Linked DNA regions of Drosophila melanogaster. The protein of the gene in region 3 interacts with the protein of the main gene of each other region in a pairwise test. Each region holds a gene or a part of one and is shown on either strand. Other genes may lie near its edges.

Evidence for each region. Proteins that work in one complex are often made in the same cells at the same time.
Region 1: the proteins of CG7945 (region 3) and CG6163 interact in a two-hybrid assay, tested with the Drosophila melanogaster proteins (one large-scale study listed by BioGRID).
Region 2: the proteins of CG7945 (region 3) and CG9331 interact in a two-hybrid assay, tested with the Drosophila melanogaster proteins (one large-scale study listed by BioGRID).

The regions. Positions count from the first base shown.
Region 1 is NT_037436.4:11,360,747-11,367,052, forward strand, and holds CG6163 (uncharacterized protein), read right to left. Parts: upstream 4,140-6,306; 5' UTR 4,026-4,139; coding exon 3,863-4,025; intron 3,173-3,862; coding exon 2,531-3,172; intron 2,341-2,530; coding exon 1,859-2,340; 3' UTR 1,240-1,858; downstream 1-1,239.
Region 2 is NT_033779.5:20,821,440-20,828,963, reverse strand, and holds CG9331 (uncharacterized protein), read right to left. Parts: upstream 5,323-7,524; 5' UTR 4,849-5,322; intron 4,531-4,848; exon of another isoform or gene 4,240-4,530; intron 3,693-4,239; 5' UTR 3,544-3,692; coding exon 3,452-3,543; exon of another isoform or gene 3,389-3,451; coding exon of another isoform or gene 3,297-3,388; coding exon 2,877-3,296; intron 2,332-2,876; coding exon 1,994-2,331; intron 1,933-1,993; coding exon 1,807-1,932; intron 1,468-1,806; coding exon 1,349-1,467; 3' UTR 1,240-1,348; downstream 1-1,239.
Region 3 is NT_037436.4:15,520,551-15,526,420, reverse strand, and holds CG7945 (uncharacterized protein), read left to right. Parts: upstream 1-2,283; 5' UTR 2,284-2,588; exon of another isoform or gene 2,589-2,703; coding exon of another isoform or gene 2,704-2,909; intron 2,910-2,956; 5' UTR 2,957-3,205; coding exon 3,206-3,453; intron 3,454-3,840; coding exon 3,841-3,861; intron 3,862-3,918; coding exon 3,919-4,061; intron 4,062-4,225; coding exon 4,226-4,602; 3' UTR 4,603-4,710; downstream 4,711-5,870. Other genes in the region: CG33985 (uncharacterized protein), read left to right, coding at 1-228, 291-509; CG33986 (uncharacterized protein), read left to right, coding at 1,198-1,213, 1,272-2,089; yellow-k, read right to left, coding at 4,773-5,801.

The sequences.
Region 1 (6,306 bases), 4.2 Mb from region 3:
ATGCTCCCAAAACACAAATAATTGAAACTTATATATTTCATGGAATTACGACGAATTTTTACCTCAGTTATAAAATTTTAAGAAACTTTTTTCGATGCATTGCGTTTGGCCTTTTGTATGTAATATTGTTTGCAAATAGTTTGCATATCAGTAAACTGATTACAAGTGAAAAACGCCGAAACCTTCCTTTCTATGACGCCTATAAAAATCGGTGGAGCCAACAAATCACGAACATTTTTTTCCCAGGCAAAGAAATTCTAACATGGTTTGTAGCACCTGCCGTTGTTACTAACATTTTCGCACGTACGCATCCGAAAACCATTTAAATAACGCTCCATCATCTAACCCACCCATGGCTTTGTGGAAACTTTTACACGGCAGCGCTGTTGCTCCGGGCTGCTGCGCTTCATGGACTCCTGGATGGGTTTTCCACCCAGCTTTTCCACCCCTCTTTCACCCTAACCCCACCCCCCACCCAACACACACCCGACCGCATTTCCCCGCTTAGCTGGCGTTGATAAATGCACGGAGCATAAAAGTTTGAACAAACTACTTGAGTTTTTAGGCAAATTTTCGCCCCGAACTAGAACGTAAAACGTAGCCAACTACTTTCCACTTTACCTGGCGGCGTGCCACGCCTCCACCTATTGCCGTACCGCCCCACCGCCACGCCCACTACAAATCGCTGGGCCCATTAGAGGCTTGGCAAAAACGCCGCTAAATGCGACGTGAATTATTTAAGGCACGTGTGTTGTGCAAAATGCGGCAAATTCGACAGTGAAATGCATTTATTATTGAAGATATTGTCGGAGTCTGCGGGCGGATGAAAAATAAAAGGGGTGTTGGGTGCTGAGGATGTAAGATGAGGCGGCATCCTTTGGGCCAATTATGTGGGTGGCTCTTGGGCGAAACGAAAACGGGGCAGCTATACGTTTTGATAAACGTTTTACAGTTTGAGAACTTTTCTTTTCTGGGCTGGCACGTGATTGGAATTACGCGTGTTCCGCCCTTGGCCCTCAGCCAGAAATTTACACAAATCCACAAAACACTGGATGCCAGGAAGCCAGGATGGCAGGATGGCTGGATGGATGGTGGCTTTATGGGACGACTCCATGTGCGGCAATGTGTATGTGTGTGTGTATTTGAAACATGTTTGCCAGTTTGGCAATCGACAAATGTTGCACACACTGTGAGAATTAGCATAATTTAGTTTTCGCGCTCGGAGCGTTCTCGAATCTCGAATCCGTCGCATCGCATCACGATTATCGCAATTGATTGAGTGCAAAGCACTTCAGATGGAATAAATCTCCTTTCATTCGGAAATTACAATCGCATTTTTCTCGAAATTGATATTGATGAAATGTATACCACTCGGTTATATAACGTGAGTAGTATCCATTTCAGTTTCGCATTGAATGAGCCCTAATTTAATTTTAATTCATTAATCCTTCAGAAATACATGGAAGTTTCTAGACTACACAAATTGGAATATATATGCTAAGTGAATTTATTTCCAACCAAAATATACAAATTAAATATTATGTATATCTTAGTGATGTATTTATTTGCGGAGTAGTAGAAAATGGAATTACAAAAAGGTTTTTCAATAGTAGGGGCATGCGGTATAGCTAGTGATTTTACATCTGACGATTATTTTAGGGTCTTCAAATTGCACCTGAGAAGAAACCTATATCAAATCAAGAAAAAAAAACAAGTGAAATCTTGTTAATTTTGTTCAATTATATTGAAGTATTTGATCTAGTAAGTTAATATTAATTAGTGCCCAAAAAAAAAACAAAGTGGTGCAGGCTTTTTCTCAGGTGTGTCTAGGGCTTAACTGCCCCTATTTGCTCAGTCTTCAATTGGCAGCTGGCTCTCCGGCACCATGGACATGGAGAATCATCTCAAAGGGATCCCACTCGAGATCGGACTCGTGCTTGACCCGACGGCGAATGGGCTGCGAGTGCTGCGGATGGTGCATGGCCAAAGTCGGATGGTGTCCCTCCTGATGGTGGTGCTGCACCAATCCGATTGGCATGTCCTGGGCGTGCTCCACCAATCCTGCTGGCGGCTGTGGTGGACGGTAGTGGTGCAAGTGCTGTGACGGATGGTGCTGCGTCTGCTGGTGGTGCTGCTGCTCGCTAACGATCTCCTGGATCTGTTCGCGTGTCTGCTCCCTCTCATCGACCTTCTTTAGCAGAATTTCCCGCATGAAGGACATTCGATCGAAGTGTTCCCACGTGGAGCGGAAGGATTGGTGGGAGTATTGGGCGTGGCGCTCCTTCTGCAGTTCGTCTACGTAGCGCTGCTTGATGATTGACCAGCGCGTTTGCATAAGAGCTGCAAAGTATAAGATGTTTTGGGAGGGTTGGGGAACTTTTTATAATTCACATTCCTTTAAGCTACTTAAGCTTATTTTAATACCAATTCGTCAGGACATTAGTAACATCCTTTTAACACAATATTAAATTAGTTTGCTACATGCTATATATTTCGATGGATATAATCTACTTAGACGGGACTAACTTACTCGGTGTCAGACCCATCTCCATGGCCGCTTCCTTCCAAACCGCTGAGGTTCTACTCTGACCCTGTCCTTTCTCACTCCGCTGGCGCCCAGCCCACAACGATGGACGCGTCTTGATGGCATCGATGATACGTCCGCGCATGCTATTGTGCAACGAACTGGGGCGGCCCAACTTTCGCGGCGGCGTGGCCACCGTCTCTGAGGCCACAGTGGCCGGTGGAGGTACCAGCCCCGTGAAAGCGGTATATGTCATGCCATGACCTTGACTATGGGGCGGCTGAGTGATTAGATGCGGCAGTTGAGGGGCGGTGGGTGTGGTTGCGGTCTGCAGCCAGCTGAAGCTACCACTGGGTCGTCCGCGACCATGGGTGGCGGTGGGTAATGGCGGAGGCGCCACTGGGGCAGCAGGTTCCTCCCCCACAGTTGCTGCTTCAGTGGCTGTGGATGGGGCATCGGAGGAGGTGCCTCCGCCACTGCCGCCGCTCGACTGAGCGCCTACGATCTTTGCCACCGTAATGTTATACATGAAGGACATGGGCTCGAAGTGCTCCCACTTGGTGTTGAATCGATCCTTGTGGAGGATCTGGCGGTGGACCAAGTTGTGATAGTGGTACTTCATCTGGCTCCAGATCGATTGCAGCTTAACTGAAAATTATAAATAAATATGGTAAACATTTTCTTTTTTAAAGAATATTAATCGTGAATCGTGATTATTGAAACTTCCAAGAAATAGATATTTCAAATATTGAGATTATGGCTTAAGAGGCCTAAGAGTGCGAAGTTTAGTCTTTTCATTCATGAATATTGTAATATCTTGTGGCACGGTGCAGATAACTAAGCTTACATTAAGCCACCCAATTGCATTCATCAAAGTACATTCCACCCGTCAATTATTTCTACTGCGAGTGCTTCAATTTGCATTATATAGTGGCGTAGGCTCCTCTATTATTCCAAACGGACAGAAACCTTTACTTTCTATCCGAAATGCCCTTTGTCTAATTTTAGCCAAGTGCAGTGACGTAATTTAAGAAAATAATGAACCCTTTAGGAATATTGATTCAACGTAGATTTTTGTTATTGAGCAGTGAACTTTAAAATGTTCAGGTTGGACCAACTTACTTTAAATAAAGTGATTTTCAGCCCCCTTTCAAAAGCACATGCCTGCGCCACTGAATGCGCCTCGAAAGAGCTGGCGAAAGGAGAGTGCGAAAGGCAGCAACAAATGGCAACACTGCTAGCTAGCTGGCGAATGGAGCAGTGGCGTAGAGTGTGAGGGGTGCTTATGTCGGAAAGCGGAATGGTTCGTAGGGACGGGTACATTCTTGGTGGGCTCACCTGTCGGCACATGACCGCCGAACTGCTCGGCGATCTCTGTCCACATGGGCGATGTGACGCTGCGGCACATGTGCAGCTTGTTGTTGGAGTCCCAGATCTCCGGATATTTCTTGATCGCCTTCAAGAGCTGGGCTCGATTTACGAACGGATCCTCCTTGGGCATGGCCACAGCGAAACTGGTCACACTGGCACTGAATGATACCGTACCGCGGCAATGATTCCAAAGGCGATGTGAAACTGCGCCGGCGGAGCACAACTGCGTCCTTTGACATCAATTATCGGCGAATAACTGAAAGTAGAGTTTGCAAAAATATGCGAATTGAAAATGAAAAGGCACAGCGATTGAGGAAAATAGAGAAAACGATGACGGCGACGGCGACGCCAGCTTTTCGTTGTTGTTGCCCCGATGCCGAAGAGATTGGAAAGGCAGCGAAAGCGTACACGAGATGAGATACACAAAATGCAGGCGAGAAGAGAGAACAGGGAGAATGTGCAAAAAAAAAAAAAGACAGAAAAAGGAAAGAAGAGTCAGCAGCGACGACGTCAGTTTTACATACAAAAGTCTCCGCGTGTAGGTGCTTGTATCTGTGTGAGTGAGTAAGTGTGTAAGATGGCAGGGCGAAAAAGCAAAACAGACACAAGCAACAAGACCAAAGAGGAGACAGACAAAAAGCAACAACATAGCGCAGCAGCGGCAGAAGCAGCGAAGCTCAGAGCTGCAAAAACCGAAAAACAACAGAGAAGAAAAGCACTGAAAGAATAAGAGGAAGATGGAGGAGGCGGAAAAAAGCAGCGGGCAGGCTGCCCAAAAGAAAGGCAACGATAAACAAGCTACCTCTCTTTCATTGGGGGTCTCCTCTCTCTCCCTCTCTCTAACTTGGAGCCACCGAAAACGAGAGGGTGTTGTCGGGGAAGGGGTGAGTGGCGGACGAGCATTAGAAGCAGCGAAAAGCGAAACAAAAGAGCAGCGAAGAGTGCAGAGCAAAATGCAGGTCCGCAAAACGGAGAGCAGAGAAATCCACGATGACCGAAGTCGGTTGTTGGTCGAAGGGGCTGTGTGCGGGTGTGAGGGGGAGCAGCGAAAGAGAGAGGGAGGCAGGCAGAGGAGACCCGGAGTCCGAAGCCCGGCTGTCTAAACCGGAGACCCAGCAACAACAGCACCAACAACTGCAACAACCAGGGCAAACAACAACTGCATCACGAACACGCAACAAAGTGACGAAGCAACCGACGGACAGTGGGACGCATTGGAGCTGGCACAGTGGGGCCAACGACGGGTGGGGGATAGTAACGCGGCAGTAATGGTTTATCTGGCTAGAAAGTTGTTAAGAACCCCATCTTTAAGTATAAGAGTGAATACGGTTACAAGAGATTTAAAATGTCTATTAATCTTTATCAAAACAAATTCTACAAGCTTTAATTATATTTTATCGTGAAATATTCCATTTTTAACATTTTGGTCATAAAATATGATATGGCGCCATAAGATAGGCAACACATTTTTCGCTTATAAGGGGTAGATTACGTATACGTCCTGTTGTCTTTATTGCATTAGTAAAACTTATTTACATCTTGTTTTTTAATTTTCTGCTAACCACTTAAAATTTATAAAAATGTTAAATACAAATAACTTTAAATGTCACTCTTAAGTAAACTGGGCGTATACGTGATCACCTAATTGCATGCAGAAGATGGCACATTATCAAGAATAAATAAAAAAAAAAAAATGTTTAAATTTATATTCGCTGACTTATAAATTTACTTAGCCGTTTTTTCGCCAAACTGAGTTGGCATTGTGCAAAGAAGTGGCATCACTGGTGGGTGGACTGTTCGGTCGCTTGCTCGGGTTCGTCGTTGGTCGTTTTGGGCGCTGTGAGTGTGTTTGTGCGAGTGTACGTGCAATGAACCCGCAACTACAACTGCACACAACTGCAGCACGCACACTCGCACACCCGCCCACACACACGCACGCCGACTTCATTAGTATTGGCAACGATTCGTAGGCGCTGCAGCGCGCTGCGTTCATTTACTCAGTGCCCCAGACCCCGATGCCGAGCAGCGACCCACAGTGCTGCCCCCGACCACCCACCGCACACCTTGCCACACCACTTGGGCACCACCACCACCCGCCGCCTCACCCTACCCCCTTAGATATCCGCAATTCAGCGTGCGAGAACGAGACTGCAAAACAAACAAGATTCGGCATAAATCAGAGGTGGTCAACTATTTACATAGTGGGGATGTTTGTATTCGGGAGCGGATTTGTGTTACTTAAAATAAACCAAAGAGCACCAATTACAGCGATTTCAAAACTAACAAATAAAAAAACCAAGGGAAAGTTTGGGTTTAATGCTTACAACACTTTATTGGACCACTGCCAAATGGTTGATCAAAGAGTTACTGACCTATCGCATATAGAAACAAGTTTTTCTTATGAACAAACG
Region 2 (7,524 bases), on a different chromosome or scaffold from region 3:
AAATACTTTTAGACACTGTCTGTCAACCACTAAAGAGATAAGACAAAAATCTTTATACTGATAAGGGGCCAGAAGTACGAGTATTTGTTAGGTGGGGGCCCTAAAAGCAACTAGGACTGATATCAATAGCCTACAGGAACTATAAAAAGCTGTAATCTTTAGATTAGGCATACAGATTACGTCTACGCTGCAAAAGATTGTTTCAAATCGTTGCCACGCCCACAACTGTTACATACATATTTTTGAAAAATTAAAAATGCTTTATGTCCTGAGATCGAGTTGTTCGAAAGGACAGACATATACTTGTATGCAATGAAAACGTTTTCTTCTTCCCGTTACTTATTTTTGAAAGAAGTATACCGTTTACTTTTGGAGTAACAGGTATACTGATTAATCGTTCAATTTAATATACTACTACATCCTTTACTGTACAACATGGTGTACATCCTCTTGGATCACTTGTGGAAACGACGACTCGAACCCACTGCCAAATCGACCACGTCGTTGTTGACAGGGGACTTTGCACCTCTTGACTTCCGGCACATCGGCGTAGTCAGCTGGGGGCAGTATTCATTTAGAGCCACTGCCTTATGGGGCTACTGTCCTGCTCAGTCGCCGGTCTGCTTTCTTGCTGGTTGCAGCAGTTGCAGTTGCAGTTCTCTTTCTGCAGATAAATGCCCACATAGTAATCCCTGGGATTCGCCCCCAGCACCTTGAAACCAACGGGCCATGCCCAGGGGCCTTCAATTATTATATTCGATCAGCAAAGCCATAATCAGTGGGAGCAGGTTGAAAAACTACAACCGAAGTCGGGTTTCGCGAGCGAACTCTCAAGCGGCATAAGCACCCAGTTTTAAGAAGCGATGATCCTATTCCGATCCTGATCCGACAAGCTCCCGCAGCCGTTCCTGGGACTTTTGGATGCGAAATCAGCAGTTTGAAGGTCCTCGATACATTTTGGGGAAAAGTGGTAGGTTTTGCAATTGTGCAGAGCTAAACTTTGCGAATTACTAAATCAATGTTTTCTGCTCTCATTTCTTAAAACGTACAATATTATTTCCTACGATATACTATATTAGTATTTAAATTATGTTTCTCATTCTCTAGCACCAATTATTCTATTGCTTTACCTATTCCATATTAATCAGTTGAGCTAATCTTACGGTATAGATTAGATTCCCACATATTTAATTTAATAAATTTGCAACAGCAAATACTTGTTTTTTAATTGTTTTTTTTATTTTCACATCTACTGGCATGCCAAGGTCATCGGCGGCCTTTCGCACTTTGTTTGGCGGACATTCCAAACTGGTTAGCGGTAGAAAGCCATATTTCCCATTTGAATTTACTAGTAGGCGGGCGACAACATGGGCTCCCCAGCCAAACCGCGGAGCACATTATGGGCAGCAATGGTGGACATGTCGGCACGGGTGCGCTTCGTGGCGGATCCAATATGGGGCAGGACAACTAAAAGAACACATCAAGTGGTTAGTTCAAGATACGATTACACAAACCAAGATAACAATGTTTTAATAAATCAACAAAAGAAGGGAATTATAGAGGTCAACAAGGACGCAGAAATTAGATAAAACATGGAAAGAATAAACGTTACCCTATTTATTTGTAACCTTCAAGAAACCTTAAAGATTCCATTAATTTCAAAATACTTTTAGTCATTGTCAACCACTGAAGAGATAAGTCAAAATCTTTATATTGATAAGGGGCCAGAAATACGAGTATTTGCTAGGTGTGGGCCTGAGGACTGATATCAATAAACTACAACATTATTTTCATTTTCCCACTCACCAACATTGTCAAGCGTCAGCAGCTTGTCCTTGGGCGACAATGGTTCCGGATCCGTGACGTCGAGTCCGGCGGAAAAGATTCGGTTGGCTTTCAAAGCCTCGTAGAGGTCATCCTGGTTGACGATTTCTGAGGAATAAAATAAATAGTTAAAATCGGTCGAGAATCCCAATTAATACTGGTAACTTACTGCCCCTGGCAATGTTAACCAGCACAGCAGTCTGCTTCATCTTGTTGAAGGCGGTGGCATTAAAGACGCCCTGTGTGTCCTTCGTCAAAGGAGAAGCGATCACTACGAAGTCACTCTCGGCCAGAAGGGTATCGAAGTCAACTTTCTTGGCATTGAACTCCTCCTCGATCTCCTTGTGAACACGACGACGGGTGGTGTACAGCACCTTGTCAATGTCGAATCCAGACAAACGCTTGGCAATAGCCTGACCAATGCCTCCAAAGCCGTAGAATCCCACGGTGGAATCACGAATATCCTGGCCCAACAGCCAGTTAAGATGGTAGTTTTCCCACTTGTCACTTTTAGAACGCAAAAGATACAAATTAAGAAATTGAAAGATATATGAATATTTCCAAAATATATAATATACTTGTAGATACTCGAGATACTGATAAATGCCTGTTACTAAGCTAAGATGAAGATAAAAAAAACTTTTTTTTATTGCACCGCCACCTAGCGGCGGTTACATAAACTGCTCGTACCTTTTGTTTGTAGATAAATCGAAAGTCAATACTTTAGAATTTTACATTATGCATGTGAGGAGCCAAAACCTATTGATGATAATGCTTTGTCCACTTGTGAGCGCTATAGAGCAAAAGTGCAAGCGACAGACGAGCGGACAGGCGGTATTCTTAAGAACCGGCTTGCAATTTTAATCGAGAATTCATGCGTATACATTTCACGGCCACACTAAGTTGAAAATAAAGTGTCCCTAGTTTAGCTTAATTATAATAATAATTATGACAATTATAATTTCGGTTTACTCTATTTTTGTCATTGCTCAAATTAATTCTGTAAGTATATGAATCATCACAAACACAACTAACCAACTAGTGGTACTCACTTGTCGATGGTCTTGCGACCCTCGTGAAAACGGCGACTGGCGGCGATCAGGAGACCCACTGCCAAATCGGCCACGGCGGTGTTGAGAACGGTGGGCGTGTGTCCCAGCGGGATCTTACGTCTCTTTACCTCCGGCACATCGACGTAGTCGATTCCCGCCGACATGGTGGAGATGGATTTCAGCTGGGGACCGGCAGCATCGAGGGCCTCGGCATTGAGGGGTTCGTGTCCACCCCAGAGAACGCCATCCACGCCACGGATTTTCTCCAGCAGCTCCGCCCGGTTGATGGGAACACTCTGCACCTGGACGATCTCGCAGTTCTCCTTCAGCAGATCAATGCCCTCCTGGGGAACCTCGGGATGTGTCACCAGGACCTTGAAAGCCTTGCCAGCGGACATGGTGCGATTCTGGCTTTGATTTCTGCTGCCCCTGCGTGGGAGGGAGGCATTACTACCGGCGATCAGCAAGGCCACAATCAGTGGCAGCAGGGAGTTGGTGGCAATCGATCTCATCTCGAAGTATTGCGATCGAAGTCGTGTTTCGCGAGCGACTGAACTCTCAAGCGGCATACGCACCCAGCTTTAAGGAGCGGCGAGAACGGAAAGCCGCTGATCCGACTGCTCCGACCCACGATCGCAGCCGATAAACCAATGAACCTGTTTAGCATTATAATCCGCGCTCTAAATCTCTCCCTATATATGTATGTACGTATGTATGTATGTCTGTAGGCGTTCAAGCCGCCGAGCAGCTGATGTGAGTCTCAGTCTCTCCTACGGCGTATGTATAAGACGCACAACTGGTTTGCTGGTTCGAGAACTAAGGTATAATATTGGAGTTTTATCGAAGTGGATTCAATAATCAGGAACGGTGCAAGATTATTTCTGGGTTAATAACAATAACATTTGGCAAAAATAAACATTCTAAAATTAAGTTTAATTTTACTTAACATGTGGAGCGTAATGAAAAAATTACGAAACATAGATGAATTTATCAAAGACTAAGAGCCAATTATTTTGGCTAAAAAACAGAGACAATTATTTCAGTGGAAATACGATTATATACTGCGGTCAATAATTTCGAGTAGCTAAAATACATCTATCTCCCATGTTTTTTAAAGTACTTAAATTTCGCGGTTATACGGTCGCTATCTCCGCACAGACGCACGAGATTTTTATGGCGAAATTCCGCGAGCAAAAACTTTCAGATATGTTCGCATCTAATCATTTTTCCACGACTCATTCCACTCAACACTTTTGACAATTTGATGGTTTTTTAGCATTGTTTGTTTGTTTGTGGGAGGGAATGGAAAAACCCACAGTAATATTTTGATATTAATTACACTCAATGTCACCAAAGAACAAACCGTCACTCTTAAAAACTCTCTTAACCAAACTGTTTACGACACCAAATGTCACAAGAGAACTACTTTATTATATTATTATTAATTTGTTCTTTACACTATGCTACACTCTGCCTCCAAACGCACCCGACGTGAAAATTTAACTAAAACTTTTTTCCATTGGCTATGCAATAAAAGCTCGCAATCCGATTTCATTTTTATGTTCTCTTATTTAGACTTTATACTTTCTCTTACCGTGAGATCTATAGAACTAGAATACTTTTCAGCTTTGCGTTTGCCGCACGACTGAAGTATTGGCCCCAAAGCTTAAGCCTTATATAGAACTCATATCGTATCGCAAATGAATTATCAATTCCCAAAAAAGAGTTAATACGAGAGTAATTTTCAACATATTAATTCGGTTTACATTTTATGGAATGGTGCACAGATATTTTTGAAGTCAATTGTATAAATTCGTTAAAATAAAATAACATATATGAAATATTTAAAACAATATGCGATCTAACAAACTTTTATTATCGTAAAAATACACCCCTTAAAGGCCGGAAACTCACTAAAATCTCAGTTAAAAATGTAGTTCACTCTTTAACATAATATTGGGGTTATATCAACCAGATTCCAGTACTATCAGCGATCAGCGATTCCCCCTCCGATTAGACCATCATTGGGCATCCCTTTCTGTCGTTGCACACTGCGCTTTGCCGCTACCATCAGTCCGTCCCTTTCCAGCTGCTTATCTCGAAAGGCTCCTTATCGGTGCGAACGAGACAGAGACGGAACTCTTTGGGAGAGTGAGCAGTTGGGAAAGCTGTGCGCCTGCTCGAAATACCAGTTGGGGACTTTTCCCATGTGCTCGCATGCAATTTCCAACTGGAATGGGCACCACCGCAGTTGGAGCCACCGGAGCAGTGGAGCCATTTGGCCATTTAGCCGTGGTGCCATGGAGCCAAAGCACTGCAGTCGGTTGGAACGTGGAACCTACACGACCAGCACTATTTCGCAGTTAAGTACGTTTTTTTGTGAGCGGATCTGCTCAAATTTTGTCCGCAGAACAGCAGGCGCACAGCGTTGGCCAACGCACACTGCGCTTTTTCGTCTGTGTGAAAGCGGCGGCAAGAACCGTTCGCGTTGGCGTTAGCGTCGCTGGCAGTGATGCGCGAATTAACTAGCTAGAACTTCCGACAAAAGGCACAGAAACTTAAAACAAAATACTAAATTACTTTACGTCTACGTGTAAGGAGTAATCAAATATTTTACTGGTTAGAACTGAATATATTCATAGACATGATAATACATATACATATTTATAAGATATTCCAAATGTTAAAAACAATAAAATTATTGATATTGTTACTATACGAAAATTGACTAATCTAAATTTTACTGATTTACGATTTAAGTATAGAACTATTTTAACATAGTTTTAACCATAATACCGCTCTAGTGAAATATCGAAACGGACAGTTTGGCTTTTTGTTTGCCTAGATTGGCTTCACTGAAAGTTGTGCACTTCCTCTTACCTTTGAGATTTGGCCCAGACACTGCACTCTGCCTAATTGAAAGCGAAACGAAAAACCAACAAAATATTAGCGCTTTGTGCGAGGGTGGATTTTTTTGTTGTCGTGACGCGGCGCAGCGTCTGTGCCTGCTTTTTCTTCGTCCCCCACAACGGTTTACACATTTTCTTCGTGCCTTGTTCTTTTGTTTCGCGGCCATTGTGCAGCAGAGTGCCGCACATTGGTGCTCTTCTCGCTTTTATGCTTTCCTGTTACCAAAACACGATGCGTCATTTTGACTGACGTAACCGGAGACAACATTCCAATTGGAGACAGCTGTCTATCAGACGCGACCGTCGTCGTCGTTACGTCTGCTGCCGCCGGCATTGCCAGCGCTAAACTGCGGTTTGGTGAACAAGTAATCAGCAACTGATGACAGCAGACAGACGCCAACGAGAGTGTGTGCGGCGGACAGAGAAGAGAAAATGCGGAGAGATAGAGATAGTGGAGGCGGACAGTGAAAGACGGGGTATAACGGAAAAAATGGAATTTGAGAAGCGCATCTCTCGATCTCTCCACTGAACATATGAAAATACAATGTACATATGTACATATGTATGTAAATAATATTTATAAGTTGGGATATTAGAAAGCCTAACACTAGGTCTTCGTTTTAGGCTAATAAATTACTACAGTTTCGATATAATCGGAAACTGAAAATGAAAACGTTTACTTAGTTCAGTTCCCAACTAAGAACAAAGTGGGCATACTTTTAGGCACTTCTAAGCACTATTCCTGATAATGCTTAATGCAATAAAAGTTAATGTGTCACCAAAAATACACATTGTAGTACTTGTTCACATTTCTTAAAAAGTAATTTACAAACATTTTAACTTAGAACTTAGAACCTTGCTAATTGCATTCACAAGGTAAGATTGGGATTGCCTTCGCACAGCACTCAGCGGGTTAAAGTCAACTGTCAAGGGCAAGTTGCAGACACCTAAGCAGCATCCACAAACATATCCGTACTGCTTGCGCCGCATTCTGCTTGCTTCATATTTGGCGACACCAGCAGCGGGAATCGCAAATGGCGGCCGAGCGACAAAGCTGCAAAGCGAGGCGTCGCGCACTCCGCGCAGGCGCTTTTGGAGCGCCCAACTCCACTCAACGGCCTGTCGAGAAGGCCAAGATGAAAAAAAAGTGGGACGTGCCGGGCCACAAAAAAAGTGGCCAACCGTCACCGATTTTTATGGTGTAGGCTCCCTAAAATTGACGCGCAACATTGAGGCAGGTCCCTCTACGCGATATAACGGAACAGGCGCCCAGAGTCGCCAGCAGCGAGATAACCCGACGGAAGACAAAAAGCGAGAGCGAGCTGTGTCTGTGTGTCTGCGCGTGTGGTGGTGGGCCCCAAGTCGATGGCGGTGCCTACACACGGCACAGCTCTATGAATATAACGAGCACGAGAGCGGGAGCGGGAGTGAGCTCCACCACGAGCTCTAGAAGAGAGAGAGACAAGTAGAGTTGGTGAGCGTGGGAGTTGATGTGCACTTGCATATGTGCAAGTACAGTGCGTCCTCTGTAACAGTAAGCACTAAACTGAAAAGAGACTAGCAAACTAGTAAAGTACCACTGTAGTCATTCCCCAGATTTCAGTTGCTCATGGAAGTGTGTACTTGTGTATATACATATATACCAACATACTTAGGTAGCTAATCCAGCTCTGTTGGCTTTGTAATGATGTTAACATTGACTGACGTCAGGCACGGGTCTTAATTTACATGTCTCTGCT
Region 3 (5,870 bases):
GGAGCCAGCAGTACGACTTCCGTATCGCCTGCTATAGAGATTATTGTGACCAATGTGTGCCCACAACTGGATAATCAGAGTCGTATCGCATTGCTGCCAAATCAGAACTCCTGTTCAGATTATTACATTTGCTATCGCGGTGTGGCACTTCCCATGAGTTGTGCCACCAGTTTGCACTTTAATTCACTCACCGGAAAATGCGATCATCCCGAAAACGTTAGGTGTTTGGTGGGTTAACCTATGGTACTTCATATCTTATAATTTTTGTATAATAAATTATTTATTTACAGGCCATGACTTATAATCCCAGGGAGCAGTGCAAGCGACATGTAATCGATGTTTATCCGCATTCCGACAACTGCAATTACTTTTACCAGTGTCGCTCTGGCTATTTGATGGTCCAGCAGTGTCCTTTCTTCTACGGATGGGACTACGAGAAGCGATCCTGTGTAGCACTAGGTCAAGCCAAATGCTACAACAAGCTGCAAATGCAAATGAAAATTTATTAAATACACATAATAATATTTATTAAAAAAAAAAAACGAAATTTTACATTTAGTTAATTAACGAGCTTTGTGGAAAAATTGAAAATATTGAACATAAAGTGTTGTATGTTTACATATGGAATAAACCTAAATACTGGTAATCAATAAGACTTCTTTGTAAAACTATCAAGCAACACGGCCGACCTTGACTCTTTCCTAAATTTATCAGGTGATATCAAGCAATTCTTTCATATCTCTGCAAAATGAAGACCTTGAATCGAAACATTTGCCAAAATAGGCCAACCTTCGATTTGAAACATAGTAATTTGACCGATATGATACGATTTTCCTCACAAGGACAACATATGTCATCGTGATATCACCTAATCAATTTCCTAGCTAATCTCGGCTTCCTTTTCACCAGACTTTAAAATTAAAAATCCAGCATTAAAGTTGTATCTGCTTGCCATTTCGAGATACGATATCGATTGATTGCGAGGAAAGGGAGCCATATTTCTTTTTTGGCAAAACAAAATACAGGAGTCTTATCAACTTCTTCCTACAAGCAATTGAAAATGTTAATTTTCTGATACTGAGCCACATATGCGGCTGTATCTTGGCGCCGAATGTATCACATATATGCCAAGTTCACCGGGCATTACGAAATTAGAATATAACTGCGCTCTACTGGAGTCTGACGATAGAAAAAACGATGATGCTTAATACGGGTTAGTAAGATGGATATTCTCAAAACTAATAGTATGATGAGAATTTATTGGTTTCCAGCTTTCTATTTGATCGTGAACTGCTTGCTGGCCACAGCGCAATTAACCTGGAGACCATCGAAGCCCACAAACTCGGTGACCATCAGGCAGAGTGGTAGTAGAATATGTGCCAATCATTTGGTTGGTGAGTTTGTGGAGCATGCGGAGGACTGCCACATGTTTTACCTGTGCGTTGAGAACGGGGATGCAGTCCTGGCTTCCTGCCCACCAACGATGCTCTTCAATTCGGAGAGCAGACTCTGCGATTCGGCGACAAATGTAAAGTGCAGAAATGAAACGGATCCCATAGAGACTCCTCCATTCGATGGCGGAAATGGTGATGGAGATCCGAATAACATGGTCACGGATGCCGCCACTTATTGCTCCACGTTGGTGGAGCAACAACAATCCAGCGACAGGATTGTATATGTCGGCAGCTCGAGTAGTTGCAGAAAGTACTATATTTGCTACTATGGACAGGCGATCTTGCAGGAGTGCAGCTCGCAATTGCACTGGAATGCAATGACGGGTAAATGCGATATTCCGGAGAGAGCCCAGTGCACCGTAGGTGGTCAGGAGGATATGCCAACGAATGGAAATTCCGGTTTCCCATCCGGTGGCACCGCCATTTCGAGTGATCTCATTCACTGCCCCGCCTACGGACAGCATCTGTATCCCCATATGCAGCGATGCGAGTTCTTTATCTACTGCGTCAAAGGACACGCCAGCCTGCAGCAATGTCCTTTCTATTACTTCTTCGATATTGCCACCAAAAGTTGTCAATGGTCGCGCACGGCTCAGTGTGTGCGAGATTTAAATTTGGCACCACTAATAAAATAGAAGTTTTAATATATGTAGCATACAATTTTTTGAACTTTGGGAGATACCAAATGCTTTTAGAGAGGTTTCTTTTAAAAGTACTACTACTTTTAAAACTCCCGCCGATTACAGATGAAAACCAGAACTAATGTGTGTACACACTAACTTTCGACAACAATGTTCGATGAATCGGTTTCGATAAAGTTGACTATATGGCCACTGTTCTTTTTTGCGGTAGTCAGACACGGTCATACAAATCCCACAATATAATGTTAAATTAATCATATTTATACTTATCTTCATTTAAGTAAAGCGAAATATTCGATTGACCCTCGAAGTAAACAACCCAGGTGCTCAAAAATGAAGCTAACAAAGTTAGATTAATCGGTGTCTACGAATTATCTGGAAACACAAGCATTTCCCGTCATCTAACTCAAACTGCCCAACTCGAAAAATCAACAATATTTTTGCATCGGGCCAAAGGTGCATTAAAACCGGAGCCTCAAGTCTCGGGCGGCAGGTAATTTATTCAAGTTCAAAACAGCCACCCGGGGATTCTCCTAGACATCGGTTGCCACAAGAAAAGAAGAAGAATTAGGCGTAATCTTCTAGAAAATTGGTGATTTCAGCCGAGAATGTTTGAGAATTTTCGAGGTATTTTTCGGAAACGGCGTCGCTGCGAGTCGGACACAACACCGCCGCCACCGCCGCCGCAACCCGCCCAGGAGGCGGAGATAATAAACCGATATCCGGAAGATATAGAAGCCGATACGCCCGAGTCCAATGATGGCTTTGACGCCTCCTGGACCGAAGGCTCTTTTCACAGCCCACATTCAGATAGGTAATTGAATTCTGCGCATTCACGCTTCCTCTTCTCTCTTATTGCAGCTTCAAAGCAAAAACAGATAAAATTAAGCTTAAGCAACAGCATCAAACACTTCGACACCCACTCGAAAAAAAAAGCTTAAGACATTCCAAAAAAAGTAGCCAGCAAAGCGGCTAAAAAAAAATAAATAAGATAAAACCAAAACCCAAAACGAAACAGTAGGCAGCTATCCAACCATCTTGGGTGACAAACACTTGACCGGCTTTTTGGAGGGCGACAGGTTTAAATCAAATCTGGAGCAGCCGCAGGATATGGAAGTTGATGCGCCAACAACGCAGGAAACCAGTGACACTCATCATCATCACCATAGTACTTATCACCAGCAGCTGCATCAGATCTCGCCCAGCGATTACCACTCGGAGGCATCCATGAATTTTGATCATTTGCAAGACCTGAGGGCCGATGCCATGGCCTCCTCATCCCCATCCGGATCCGGAGGTGGTGGCAATGGCGGGAACAGCTCCTACGGACTCGTCGACGATAGTAGAGCTCTGGACAGGTTGTTATTCCATCATAACTAAAACCAAATCAGACACGAAACCAAAACAATACCACCGATTATATTCACACAACCTCGTAGCGAAACAAAAGTTATACGTTTCTTATCTATTATTTCTTCACACTACCAGCTACCAGCTTCATTCGAATCTTTTGTTCCATAATAGTAATGGTGATAGCTTAAAGTATCTGCCGCGAACGCCCACACAACTCTCAAAAGAGCTTTGTGTGCGAGCGCCTTTTCTTGTAGACATATTCTGGTTATAATTTCGTAGCTCTATAAGTGGTCAGTCGATCTGTAGCAGAGCGATCTAACAATCTAACGTTGCTTGTCTCGTTTCATGACTTAACCACTGAACCGCAATCACACTTAACCGACATGTGACAGACCATTTAACGCCAGCGAGAGGTAAATCTTGAATTTATAATAACCACTGAGCGTGACTAACCTTTGAGTGACTCGCAGATTTGTCACCATACTGGATAGTTTGGATGCACGTGTGGAGAAGCTGCGCAAGGATGCACTCAACCTGCAGGAGAAGAAAGACTACCTTCTGATGTCCATGGATCTGATCAAGAGCAACGAAATGATGCAGAACATGAGCGAAGGTAAGTGACAGTGATTCTTAAAACTAATTTGAACCCTCATTGTTCATAGCTTTACTAAAATGTGTATTATTTCGAAGTCGGAAGTAATGGTTTCTGATGACAAACTAAGTAAAGGGTTATTCATAGTTGACTGTGAGCTAATGTTGTACCACCTTCTTTTGCAGCTGAACGAGAGGAGATCATTTTGTACCTACAACGGGTGAGCTCTCGCTTGGCCACCGTGGAGCTGCGTGTGCGCACTGTTCGGGACAACTCTCAGGAGGATTCCCTTAGCCAGATAAATGTATTGATTGACAGCATGATCAAGATGGGTGATCCCGTGATCGGACGCCAACGATGCCAGTTTTACTTAAACGCCTGCTGCAGCAGCTCAATGGATCCATCCGGACACATGGACACCGTGCCCGAGGCCGATGTTGGGCCGGTCGACAAGAAGTTCGAGAGCGTTTTGCTTGGCTGCACTCTGGACGATCAGAAGAACATCAAGAAGCGGCTCCAGGCCTTAATGGCTTATCTGAATAAGCAAACTGTTAGCCATTAATTAAATTGTTTTTTGGTCTATTAACTATTCATAGCATTATTATCAAACCAAACGAAATACATCACCAAGCTAGATGAAACGAATAATAAAGAAAGCAGCATATACACCAGGCCAGCAGTGTTTGAATCAAGTAAAATATAATTTTAATATTTATATTAACAAACTAAATGTTATAAGCTAGGAAAGCACATGTCCTTCGCATTCAAGACCCGATCACTTAGGACCCATAATGCATCATTGGAGGTGAAGAAAATCTGCTGAATGTTCTTCGATGTGATATATATGATTTCGTTGCCCTCGGCTGTGATGTTGGCTAGTTTGGCACATCGTACGACAGCTCCGAATTTGGGGATAACATAGTACAATGTTCCGAAATTGTCGATGATCATGCTGCGACTGCTGCCCAGAAGACTGCCCAAATGTGTGAGTTTAATGCTATTGTTAATTGGTTTGCTTGCTAATTCGCTTTTGCCTTCAATTTCCAGTCTGTCCACCGTACTGTATAGATCACCATCCTGGTCGGAGAGTATGAGTTCCCCTTGAATTCCGAAGATGAAATCCACTGGCTTGATGGGAAACGATTGATTCATATTCTCGTACTTATTGCTCTCCAAGGATAGGCGGTGCCACGTCTGCTCCAGGATGTCGTAGGCTAGAATTTCTGGTACCTTTCCAAGGATGAAGTAAATATGGCGCTCGTGCTCGCATCCCGGACTCTTGGGTCCCATTTGGACAGTCAGAAAGTGGGTGTCATTAGCACCTATATGGTGTCCACAATCGATTCTCAATAGCTCCGCGTTGTTACGCATCAGATCGAAGACAAACAAACGGGGTGAGCACGTGCTGCCGGGAAATCCGATGTCCATGACCCACAGTCGACTCAGTGCATCCACCTGGGACCAGTGTGCCTGTTGTACCAGAGAGCAATCATCATGATCCCCCATGGAATGAACATCGATGTGGGGAAAGACGACAGTGGGCATGGGAAAATAGGAAACCGGCCATTGCGCCTCGATCAAAGTGGGCGCATCGTTGCTTTCTACATTTACGCTGAGAAACACTCGCGAAAAGTGCATCGATAGATGACGGACTTTGTAGCTGGATTCGTTTAAACCAGATTCGGATAACAGCCAGGCGTCCGTGGCCAGAATTAGACCAACAATGAGAAATCCCAAGCCGAGGACACCATGTGTGACCATCTTTAAACGCGAATTCAGACTGAGCTTAGGGCTAGAGAACTCTGCTTACGTTGTAAGTGCCCGTTCAAG